Canis lupus familiaris: one gene and its partners. The protein of the gene in region 1 interacts with the protein of each later gene in a biochemical or structural test. Links are inferred from orthologs where the notes say so. Each region holds a gene or a part of one and is shown in the gene's direction. Other genes may lie near its edges. The genes, in order: CASP7, PANX1 and PTGES3.

What was found.
Region 2: of the proteins of CASP7 (region 1) and PANX1, one has a biochemical effect on the other in vitro, tested with the Homo sapiens proteins (2 studies listed by IntAct). The link is inferred for Canis lupus familiaris from reciprocal best matches to the Homo sapiens genes CASP7 and PANX1.
Region 3: of the proteins of CASP7 (region 1) and PTGES3, one has a biochemical effect on the other in vitro, tested with the Homo sapiens proteins (2 studies listed by BioGRID and IntAct). The link is inferred for Canis lupus familiaris from reciprocal best matches to the Homo sapiens genes CASP7 and PTGES3.

What each region holds. Positions count from the first base shown.
Region 1 is NC_049249.1:24,923,739-24,927,371, forward strand, and holds the end of CASP7 (caspase-7), read left to right. Parts: intron 1-1,408; coding exon 1,409-1,632; 3' UTR 1,633-2,989; downstream 2,990-3,633. UniProt on the Homo sapiens protein: Thiol protease involved in different programmed cell death processes, such as apoptosis, pyroptosis or granzyme-mediated programmed cell death, by proteolytically cleaving target proteins.
Region 2 is NC_049242.1:6,792,695-6,796,882, reverse strand, and holds the start of PANX1 (pannexin-1), read left to right. Parts: upstream 1-1,300; 5' UTR 1,301-1,366; coding exon 1,367-1,547; intron 1,548-4,188. UniProt on the Homo sapiens protein: Ion channel involved in a variety of physiological functions such as blood pressure regulation, apoptotic cell clearance and oogenesis.
Region 3 is NC_049231.1:1,253,846-1,258,019, reverse strand, and holds the start of PTGES3 (prostaglandin E synthase 3), read left to right. Parts: upstream 1-1,277; 5' UTR 1,278-1,292; coding exon 1,293-1,351; intron 1,352-4,174. UniProt on the Homo sapiens protein: Cytosolic prostaglandin synthase that catalyzes the oxidoreduction of prostaglandin endoperoxide H2 (PGH2) to prostaglandin E2 (PGE2).

The sequences.
Region 1 (3,633 bases):
CACTGGTGGTTACCAGTGCTCAGTGCTGCAGGAAGAATTCTAAGTGTGCCTCAGTCACTTTACCCACATAGGTCACTCCTAAACTTACTGTACATCTATTCAATAAGTGATTGTTATCAATTATAATGGTGTTGACTGAATCTCATCAAACTGGTGAGACCACTTGGCAGTAGGAGCACAAAGCACAGCTTATCATGTAAGCCAAATACAGCTTGATTTTATTTTATATGTTCCTTTCCACCTGGGGGTTGGGAGTGATGGAGTCTTCCCTTGACCATCACCAGGTCCGTGGTGCTCACACTAAGATATTAGACAGTATGGTCTCTCTCCAGGTTACAGTCACAGCACTGTAACCAGAATATCCAGACTGAAATAATAACTAAGACCCAGAACCCAATTCGGCCTTAAATTTCTTCCAGGTTCTGATCAGCCCTGCTATAGGTCTAAGGTGCTAACAGGGCCTTGATTTTTTCCCTTATTCACCTCCTTCACCATATGCCGGTTCCTTTTTAGACTCTTTCAGAGTCAAAGATGGGAAGAGAGTTAGGGGAAGCTCCAAGTTGCATGGTTACCTGGCTTCTTGTGCTCTGTACCAATGAGATGATTAAAGCTGGGTCCTTTCTTCTTGGGCATGTTCTCGAATCCCTTGGTTTCCTGTGTCTTGCATCTCCTGGACTTTGATTTGCATCTCCATCCCTGGCTGTGTATTGTGATTCCTTCCTCAGCTCCTGGGAATCCTCCAGGACACTTGACTAGCCTCTTTATGCTGAGGTCTCCTTGTCCCTCCAAGAAATCCTGTTGGACAGACAGAGCGGAAGCTTCTTCTGGCATAGACCAGATGTGGTCCATGAGAAGCACACCCCTTGCCCTTATGGTGTTGGCCTCAGAACAGCATGCTCTCTTGGCTTTACCCCTAAGGCAGTAGGTGATCCAGCCACCTCTCACTGCCAGATTTCTTCATAAGGAGTCAGGCTCCAGTTCTGTGTGCCCCAACAACAGGAACACATCTCAAAATTCTCTAAGATCTCTGCAAATTCTTGGAAGCTTGGATTAGAACGTAGCTCTCACCTCAAAGGGCAGTGAGGAGTTCCAGAGTGCCGGAGTGCTTTTCCAGCATTTCCCTTGGAAAGCTCCACGTGCCCATTTGTCTCATCCACACTTAGGTATTTGATGTGTATCATTCAGGAACATATGTGTTAAGCATCTCCTTGCAGCCTTCTAAACTGAAGATGTTTGCTCTCTGAGCACACCAGCGCAATTCTCACTGGGAACTTGCAGGAAGAGAAGAGTAAGATAATTTTGGGAAAGCAGATATGAAGGCCCCATACACTGAGAGCCCATTCCTGGTGGTGCATGGGGCAGCGGCCAGCTCAGCTGATCTGATCTTCTCCTTTCTGTCTTGTTGAAGGCTATTACTCATGGAGGAGCCCAGGAAGTGGGTCCTGGTTTGTGCAGGCCCTGTGCTCCACCCTGAATGAGCACGGCAAGAGCCTGGAGATCTTGCATATCCTCACCAGGGTGAACAACAGGGTGGCCAGGCACTTCGAGTCCCAGTCGGATGACCCCCACTTCCACGAGAAGAAGCAGATCCCATGTGTGGTCTCCATGCTTACCAAGGAACTCTACTTCTGAAAAGATAACCATTTCAGGGATGCATTCTTGCTGAAAAACCATGGATCATTTGTTCATGAGTCTTTTTTTTTTTTTTTTTTTTTTGATGCTTTTGAAATACCTAGAAATTCTAAAGGTTTTTAATTCAGGAACATTTATTGATTCAAAAGGAAAGAAACTTTCTGGTGCTGTCTTATGTTTGTATGTTTTCGGAGACTCTCTCTCCTTTTTTTTTTTTTTTTTTTTTACAATGTATCCATTTGATGGCTTTGTAATTTCTTCTTAAGACTAATTTTTTGTTTGTATTTATCTGCTTATTGTTCCATGTAGCACATACAACAGAAACAACCTCCACAGACTCTTGGCTGTGTCCACCATGATTGGTGGTGACACGGTAGATGGGGTCTACTTGGCAAATAGCATTGCAGGGCTGAAAAAAAAAAACAGCATCTGTTCACCAGTGTTGCAGAAAGTGGGTAGAGTGTGATTTGAGTGATTTTTCATTGGCTTAGGACAGATTCTCATGCAAAACTTTCCAGATAAAGGGAAAAAAATGTTAATGATTCTAATATGTATCAAACAGGAAACAGAAACCATTCCAGGTGTTTCAGTAGAGGAAATTTAATAGAGGAAATTGACCACAAAGATGATAAAAGAAACCCCAAATAAAAGGAATCTGTTACCACTTAAGGCTATGAAAAGGTGTGGTCCCCTTAGTCTAGAAGCTGGGGTAGCCCACGGAAGTGGCAGCATGGTGGGGGCCTGGTAAGAGCCGGGACCACCAAGGGATTGTGGGAATTGGAGCCATGGCAGAGACAAAGCCCCTGCCTGAGTTGGGGCAAGACCAGTTGAGTCAGATGTAAAGAAATACCGTGGCTTCATCTCTCCTGCCCTCGACTCTTCCTCCACCACCTTACCTGGAAGCCAGCTGACAAGCGCCTTGGAAGCATGATGTCCTGCAAATACAGAGCACAGCAAAGCCAAGTGAGGTGAGGCAGGAGCAAGGAGTGGGTATCAGAATGGTCCATAATGTGAATATAAGTCAACCTATTCCCTGAGGTTCAGCGATTCCTCCCTTCAATCATTTATTCATTGAATTGTCCGATAATCTCCGTATTGACCACTATGTGCAAAATAATATTTTTTAGCTTTGAAATCTACCTGGAATTTTTTAGATTATTCCAAGCCTTATTCTGAGTAAATTTTTTGTTACCCCTAATTCTCTATGTGGGAAAAGTTTATGGCAAAGATTTTTCCACTTTGTTTTCAAGGTTACCTTTTGAATTCTTGATAAGTTACGATTTTATTCTGGCCTAATAACTGGTTAACACACAGATGTTCATATTTATTGATTAAAAAGTGGTTGCTTAATTCCTAACCTGCTCAGTTTGCTTTCTTTTCTTTCTTTTCTTTTTTTTTTTTTTCTCAGTTTGCTTTCATTCTAAAGTTTTTTTATGGCAGTAGAAAAAATGGGAAAACGGGATAAGGATTGACCCTCACTGACTTGACCTCCACACAAAATATAATTCATGTCTCTTTTGAAGCTGGAACACTAACAGAACAGCAAGTCAGTCACTTGGGAAACTAAAATTGTTCACGTAAAGGGTTAATTAACTTATAAAGCTGTTCACAATGGGCTACCATTTATCTTCTTTCAATAAGAAAACTACTTTACGGCCAGTTTATTAGATCTGTCTCTGGTTTCCTGCCATCTAAAATATCCAATTGTACAAAATTTAAGTGCAGATCATGAATCAACAAGCATCCACCCTACCATTCTCAGAATTCATCAGCTGTTCTTTGGAAAACAGACTATCCTATTAAAGGAACCTCTTGTAGAAATGAATGTGCCTAAGTGCATTGTAACTGGAAGTAAAAATTTTAGTACTCTAGTTATTTCCCTTGTAAACTTCATTAAAGATTCCAAGTGTCAGGGTATTGGGTTTCTTTAAAAATTCTCTTGAGCAATCATAGGTATTGAGCTCACAAATAATATTCCTTTGTGTCCTTTATTTTTTATTT
Region 2 (4,188 bases), on another chromosome or scaffold:
GTATGCGGTTAAGAGAAAGGATGAGCACTGGGTGTTCTACTATATGTTGGCAAGTCGAAGTCCAATAAAAGAATATACAGAGAGAAAGAGAAAGGGAAAGGACGGTGGCCTAAATCCCAGTGCTGGCGGTGCATGTGGAGAAAAACCATCACCTTTTCACTTGGCGAGGACCAAGTGAATTTGGAAATTCACTTTCCAAACTATGGCAGCTGGGAGAACTGGAAGCTTAAAGACGACGCTGGAGGCTCTGGCTTGGGTGGATGGCGGCGCTTTCCGCCAGCTGGGGAGGACCGGAGTTCAGCCGGAGAGGAAGATAAGGCCTGCGTTCCTGGGTCCTCGGAGTCCGAAGTCCTGGGAGCCACCCGGGCGGAGGGCGGTGTAAACTGCTGGCTGAGCGATCGGAGGCTAGGACAGGTGGAGACGTGCGCGAGGGACCTGAGCGCAGCCGGGGGGCGGGGGGGGCGGCCCGGGTGGGAAGGGCGGGGGCGGCAGCGCAGCCCGAGGGCCCTCCCGCCTGCGGGTTCTGCCCGCCGCAGCATCTCCTCGCGCTTCTCAGGCTCCACCTCCTGGAGGCGGGTCGGCAGCGGCGGTCGGCAGCGCCCACAGGCAGCACGCGCGGACGGCGGAGGCTGGAGGCTCGGCCCCCCGGGCGCGGTCGCCGAGGCGCGGAGGGTGCAGAGTCCCGTCCTCCACGCCGGCCGCTGGGCTCCGGGGCAGCCGTGGCCCTTGGCAGCGTCTGCAGCTCCTCTTAAGCGGAGTCCACCGTGCAGAGCTGCGGGGAAACCGCGGCCCAGCAAGGCGGGCGGGAGGGGGCGCTGAGGCCGAAGGGGCGGGGCGTTTCCGTGGCGCCGCTGCTCCGCCGGGGATCGCCGTGCTGGGCGGGCCACCTGTCCCCCGCGGCTCCGCGCGCCCGGCTGTCGGAGGAGCTCGGAAGACCTCGGGTTCCGGAAGAGCTGGGCGGGGCGAGCGGGGCGCGGGCGGGGCGGGGCGGGGCGGGGCGGGGCGCGGGGGGCGGGCGAGGCGGGAGCGCACCCGGGGCCGGCTCGGGGCTGGCTGAGCGCGGGCGGGGGCGAGGCGGGGCGCGGGCGGGGGCGGGGCGCGGGCGGGGCGCGGGCGGGGGCGCGGGCGGGGGCGGGGCGGAGCGCGGGCGGGGGCGCGGCGGCGGCGCTGGGCCTCATAGGCAGCCGCGCGCCCCGGCGCACAAAGGCTGGCGCATGTGTGAGCGGCCCGGGAGCCGGCAAAGGGAAAGCGAAATCCGCGGGGGCGGCAGGGGACGGCGAAGGCGCGGCGCCGCGGTCCCGAGGCGGGGGTCCCGGCCTGCCCGCCCCGCCCCCTGGGCCCGGGGCCTGAGCGCGCCGCCGCGGCCATGGCCATCGCCCACCTGGCCACCGAGTACGTGTTCTCGGACTTCTTGCTGAAGGAGCCCTCGGAGCCCAAGTTCAAGGGGCTGCGGCTGGAGCTGGCGGTGGACAAGATGGTCACGTACATCGCCGTGGGGCTGCCGCTGCTGCTCATCTCGCTGGCCTTCGCGCAGGAAATCTCGACGGGTAAGGCCGGGCGGAGGGGCGGGGCCGGGCGGCGGCGCGAGCCGCGTGGGCCGCGGTCCCGGGTCTGCGGGACGTGGTCTGACTGCGCGCCCCGTGGCGGGGACGCGGGGTAGAAAGGCAGCCCCGGGCTGATGGCCTCGAGTGTTCTTTGCGCACGTGGTGCAGGCTGTGGCCCTGCGGATCCCGCTTGCATCCCCCCCCCCCCCCCGTTCTGCCTGCACCCCGCTGATCCCGACTGCGCCCTGGAGTGCGTGTCCTGCCCTCGCTATCAGATTTGTGGAAACCACGGCCTCCTCATCCCGTCCTCTCTCTCCCACATTTGCGTAATTATCCACAATTTTGGAGCAGAGAAGTTCCGGAGCGGCTGAGCGGAGGGCGTGAAGAAGAGGACTCCGTGAAAGCTGTGCGCTCCCTTCTTTATCTCACTGGTCGATACCGAGACTTGAGCTCTGGGGGGTTGGTTGTGAATGATGGGAAATGACTGCCCTTGGCTGGTATTAGTGGGATCCCAGAATCCTCCATCTGAACGGCCTTACTATGAATGGGGGATGAACAAGCCCCCTTCACGTGGACTGTCGTTTACTCATAATAACGCGTCTGAGGTGCCAGTGTCTGGGGCAGGATCTTGTGGTTGCCTAATAAGACTCTCTGGTCTTCCTCAAGAGCTGAAGCATAGAAAAAGGATACTTTCGAGTCAGCAGGAAAGCAGCTAGAAACAGTTTGATGGGCGGTGGGAGAGAAGAGAGGACGGTGGGGCTGGGCCTGGGGGAAAGCCTATGTGAGAAATGGTGCTGGCTTCTGGCCGTGGAGCACAGTGGAATTTGCATAAGCAGAGGTGAGACCTTTGTTAAGATTCTGAGATCACAATTGCACTACTCGGGATTTACCCCAAAAATACAGATGCAGTGAAAAACTGAGACACCTGCACCCCAATGTTCATAGCAGCAATGTCCACAATCGCCAAACTGTGGAAAGAGCCTCGGTGTCCATCAAAAGATGACTGGATAAAGAAGATGTGGTTTATGTATACAATGGAATATTCCTCAGCTATTAGAAACGACAAATACCCACCATTTGCTTCAACGTGGATGGAACTGGAGGGTATTATGCTGAGTGAAGTAAGTCAATCGGAGAAGGACAAACACTATATGGTTTCACTCATTGGGGGAATATTAAAAATAGTGAAAGGGATTATAGGGGAAAGGAAGGAAAATGAGTGGGAAAAATCAGAGAAGGTGACAAAACATGGGAGACTCCTAACTCTGGGAAATGAACAAGGGGTAGTGGAAGGGAGGAGGGCGGGGGTGGGGTTACTGGGTGACGGGCACTGAGGGGGGCACTGGACAGGATGAGCACTGGGTGTTATACTGTATGTTGGCAAATCAAACTCCAATAAAAAATATACCAAAAAAAAAAAAAAGATTCTGAGATCGCAGAGAATGTTATATATGTTCCTGGAAGGAGAAAGATAATGACTATACTCCCTGAGGAGGAGTGTTAGTCACAGTTTTGGGTTATGAGCATGAATATGGGTCCAGGTCCGTTAGAACAGAGGCGTACAGGCTTGGTAGTTTTAAAAGTGCAAAGTTATTGTGTGAGCAGAGGATGGACTGGTTGAAAACAGTACTGAATAAGCCTGATGGTATCCTGTAGGGTCTGGGATCAAGGAGGAGAATCGGAGCTAGGGAGGCCAGATGCCAGAAGATGGGGCCTTGGTTGACGTCTTGTGCATGGATGGGGGCCAAGATTTGAAGGGAAAGGATGGGAAGGGGTGAATTCTAAGAGATCAAGGAGCAATAAGTGGCACCTGGGTACCTAGTTTTTAATAGGCAATGAAGGGCAGATATGACCAGAGTTGATAGAAAGGCTGCAGCCCAGAATGATTGGAGAATGGTGGGGGGGATTTTTGTTTTTTAAAGATTTATTTATTTAGAAAGAGAGAAAGAGCACATGCACAGAGCAGGTGGTGGAGAGGGGCCGAGGGAGAGAATATCTAGCAGACTTCCCACTGGGTGCAGAGCCTGATACGGGGGCTCGATCTCATGATGTTGAGATCATGACCTGAGCCGAAATCATGGTCAGAAGCCTGAGCCCCCCAGGTACCCTGAGAATGGTGGTACTCTTGATGAGAATAGTGAAGTTGCAGGAGGAGTTAGTTAGAAGAGGGTTATGGTAAGCTTAATTTTGTGATCTACAGCACTAAGTTGTTCAGTGTGGCAGGAAGTTGCCAAATTCATTGTGGAGAATACGTGATCAGTTTTTTTGTCTTTGGGCAGGCATAGTCCTGGGGTTTCCTTCCGCCTTCCAGATGATCAGGAGTTGGGACTTCTAGTAGAAAGGAAAACCACCAAGCAGCTTGGGTCCTAGAGATAATCTCTCCCTTCAGCAGATGTTCTTTGGGTACCAGCTATGGGTTGGACCCAGTGCTATGCCCCGAGGGCCCAGGAATAAATGAGGCACAGTCCCTGTCATGGAGGAGTAACAGTCTTGGGCACCTGATGCCAGGAGGAGGGAGTTGGTTACCCTTGGTGATCAAAGTTGACATCTACCCCACCCCCCCATACTAGAGGGATTCAGAAAGCAGAAGCACTTTCAACAAGTTTAAGTTGATGGGCTGAGAGGCATTTGGCTGGCATTGGGA
Region 3 (4,174 bases), on another chromosome or scaffold:
CTTTATTATGTACTGTGTAGATTGACAGTGATTTTAAATTGAGGCTGACTTCTCTGTTTCCCTAGGACACCTTTGAACTTCTGGTTTTTCAGGAAGATGCCAATTACTTTACACATTACCTTGAGCAGTAGTATGTTCTTCCCCCTATTGTATTCCAAAGCCATAATGTGCTTTAGTGCATTTTCTGTACAGTAGTTGATCTTCACATGTTGTCATACTTTATTATTAAAAAAGTATTTGTCAGGGTCCTTTCCAGCTCAGCATTTTAATTATCTTTGTGTACGGAAGGCTCTAAGTCACAGACAGGTGTTCTTAAAAATTTTAGTATATATTTAAGTTCCATAAATACTAGTTCACACAGTGCTAATTAGTATAAGGAGTTGTCCTAGATAGAATTGGAACTCAGGATTTCTGACAGAAAGGTTATTTTTTCCACTTTACAGAAAGGAAGAATAATTTCCCAGTGATCCTTTTATTTCCAAAGAAATAACTATGTCTCTCTAGTTCTGTCTTATTATGTAAACTGTTTCTGTTAAAACCTGTGCCACTTCTTGACATACGATAATGGAGTCCAGAGGCTCTGAAATTTTTCTCTACTGGAGGCACTGAGAACGTTGACCTTGAGTCTTATTTGTTCTTTTTTTTTTTTTTGAGTCTTATTTGTCTGAAGAAAAATTACTATATCTGCTTTGGAGATATTTAAAAGAATGCACAAAAGTGGGAGTGTAGGAAGGTTGGAGTTGCTTGGAAGAAAGGCGCTAAGTCTTGGGAGAAATACCATCTTTAAGAACAGCTTTCACTTTTACGTTTAGAGTAGGAATTACCAAATAAAGGAACTAATAACACAGGTTCACAAATGTTCTTGGTTTGCCCTTTTATGTCTTAGTAGGTTTTTTGTTGTTTCCTTTTTTTTTTTTTTTTTTTTTTTTTAATGGTGTTGCTGGCCAAAAGAAGTAACCTAGCAGTTCTGTTAGTTAGGTAGTTAGGTCAAAACAACTTAAGTAATTTATCCGAACAACCTAGTAGTCTTTGAAAAGCAAATACACAAAAATTGAAAGAAAAAGGTTTTTTGTTTTGTTTTGTTTTTAATAACCACAGTTACAGAATATGAATGCCCTTTGGGCACTGTATAACTTCTTATAACTTGAATTCAGATTAGATATGTCTATCTCAACTTCTGTTCTCTACTGTTTTGTTTTTTTTTATGGGTCCCTTTCTCCCCCCCCACCCCCCCTTTTTTTCCTCTAAATCACAGCAACACCAAAATTCTAACTTTGGAGAAATGAAGATTAATGGAGAGGGATGTGGTGCAGTCTGCTTTAAAACTGAACCACCTGGTGTCTGAACTGAGGTTGAGTATCACTAAATTTTTCTCAAATTTAAAATATCTTGCAGCAACCCAGTAAGTTTCTTGTGGTGCCCTGATGCACCTTGGCAAGTAATTTGGAAGCAACTGGGTCAGCATGTGTATTCAGATCACCTATCTAGAAAGTTTTACATGGTAGTACAACTGACATACAGATACTCTGAAAGTATGAGAAGCATATCTTGGGTTTTGTTTGAAGAAAGAATATGTGCATAAGAGAGTGTTGGATTGGGGATCCCTGGGTGGCTCAGCAGTTTAGTGCCTGCCTTCTGCCCAGGACGAGATCCTGGAGTCTCGGGTTCGAGTCCCCACGGCCTCCTTGCATGGAGCCTGTTTCTGCCTCTGCTTGTGTCTCTGCCTCTCTCTCCCTCTCTCTGTGTATCTCATGAATAAATAAAATCTTTAAAAAAAAGAGTGTTGGATTTTTAGACATTTGTGGACAGGGCTTTTCACTGCTCAATTTATGTGCAGTCAAAAGCCCAGTCCAAAAAGGAACTACTTTTTTCCTTTCTAATAGCAGAATTTCATGTTTCCATATCATTCCTCACTTAGTACAAACTAAAAAAGATTTACCTGTGTCTTGATTCCTTTTTGTAAATAATAGACTATTTGACAAACTTAGTTTTAAAAAAATCAGTAATTCTGAATTTTATAACCTCTTTATTGCTGATTTTTTTCCTTGGTTTTAATGATTTTTCTTTTATAATCTTTTATGATGTTTATTTTTTTAAATGTTTTTTTTTTAAAGATTTTATTTATTTATTCATAGAGATGCAGAGAGAGAGAGAGAGAGAGAGAGAGAGGCAGAGACACAGGCAGAGGGAGAAGCAGGCTCCATGCAGAGAGCCCGACGTGGGACTCGATCCAGGGTCTCCAGGATCATGCCCTGGGCTGCAGGCAGCACCAAACCGCTGCGCCACCAGGGCTGCCCTCTTTTATGACGTTTAAAGATACTCTGAGATGTATAAGAGATCATCGAATCTAGTGTTTAAGAAGCTTCCTATTAAATAGAAATGTTTACTTCTAAACCTAGAAAATACTAGGTTAAGATTTAGTAAAAAGCTAGTCTTCTGATTTCTATTGTTTTATCTTAGAATTCAAAGTGATCCTGTAATTCAGAAAAATAATGGTGCTCCATTAAGAGTTAACTTGAAAGGAAACTCATTGGGGCACCTGGGTGGCTCAGTGGTTGAGTGTCCACCTTCACCTCCGGTTGTGATCTTGGGATGGAGTCCCACATTGGGCTCCCTGTGGGGAGCCTGCTTCTCCCTCTGCCTATGTCTCTGCCTCTCTTTGTGTGTCTCATGAATACATGAATTAAAAAAAAAAAAAAAAAAACTAAGTACAGTTGATTCTTGAGTAACACGGGTTTGAACTGTGTGGGTCCATTTAGGCAAATCTTTTCCAATAAATACAATAAGGTTAGTGTATTTTTTTTTTTTTAAGATTTTTTTTTTTAAGATTTTATTTATTTATTCATGAAAGACACAGGGAGAGAGAGAGGCAGAGACACAGGCAGAGGGAGAAGCAGGCTCCATGCAGGGAGCCTGACTTGGGACTTGATCCCAGGTCCCCAGGATCACAACCTGGGCTAAAAGCCGCACTAAACTGCTGAGCCACCCGGGCTGCCCTCTTTTTTAAGATTTTAACCAACTGAGCCATCCAGGCATGCGCGCGCGCGCACACACACACACCCTTTTTTTTTGTTTTTTAAATTTTTATTTATTTATGATAGAGAGAGAGAGAGAGGCAGAGACACAGGCAGAGGGAGAAGCAGGCTCCATGCACCGGGAGCCCGATGTGGGATTCGATCTCGGGTCTCCAGGATCTCGCCCTGGGCCAAAGGCAGGCACCAAATTGCTGCGCCACCCAGGGATCCCTTTTTTTTTTTTTTTTTTTTTTTAAGTAAGTTCTACAGCCATTGTGGAGCCCAGGGTGGGGCTTTGACTCACAACTCTGAGATGAAGACCTGACCTAAGATCAAGACAAGAGTCTGACTCCCTTAACTGCCTGAGCCACCCAGGTGCCCCTGTGAAATTTTTTTTTTTTTAAGGACTTTCTCAACATTGTTTTTTTTTTCTCTAGTTTCTTTCTTCCTTTCTTTCCTTTCTTTCCTTTCTTTTCAAGATTTTATTTATTCATAGAGGCACAGAGAGAGAGAGAGAGGCAGAGACACAGGCAGAGGGAGAACCAGGCTCCATGCAGGGAACCCGACCCGACATGGGACTCGATCCCAGGACTCCAGGATCACGCCCTGGGGCTGCAGGCGATGCTAAACAGCTGCTTTAGCTGCGTCTCTTGGGCTGCCCTTTTTCCTCTAGTTTCATTGGAAGAATATACAGTGTATAACATATGATATACAAAGTATGTGTTTATTGTTTACATTTGGATAAAGAGTCTGGTCAACAGTAGGTTATTAGTAAAGTTTTAGGGGAGTCCTAAATTATGCTTGGATTTTCATCTTTGTTAAGGGGTTGGTGCCCTTAACTCTCATATTCAAAGCTCAGCTGTACGAATAACCAGAGAAAGTTTTTGTTTTGTTTTGTTTGAGTGTTGTGATGTGTTACCTATGTACACATTAAGATAAACTGTAGTTAGTAATGGACCTGATCCCTTTACCCCCCTTCCCCAATATTTCTTAATATTTTTGGACTACATTTAACTTGAATGTAAGTTTTGTTTTGTTGACTGCTCTATCTCCAGAACGATTCCTAACCCCATATTTAATAAATATTTGTTTATTGAATAACATTCAAGCTCAAGCTCTAAATGCATTTTATCTGCTAGGCTTGGCTACATGAAGTGCTT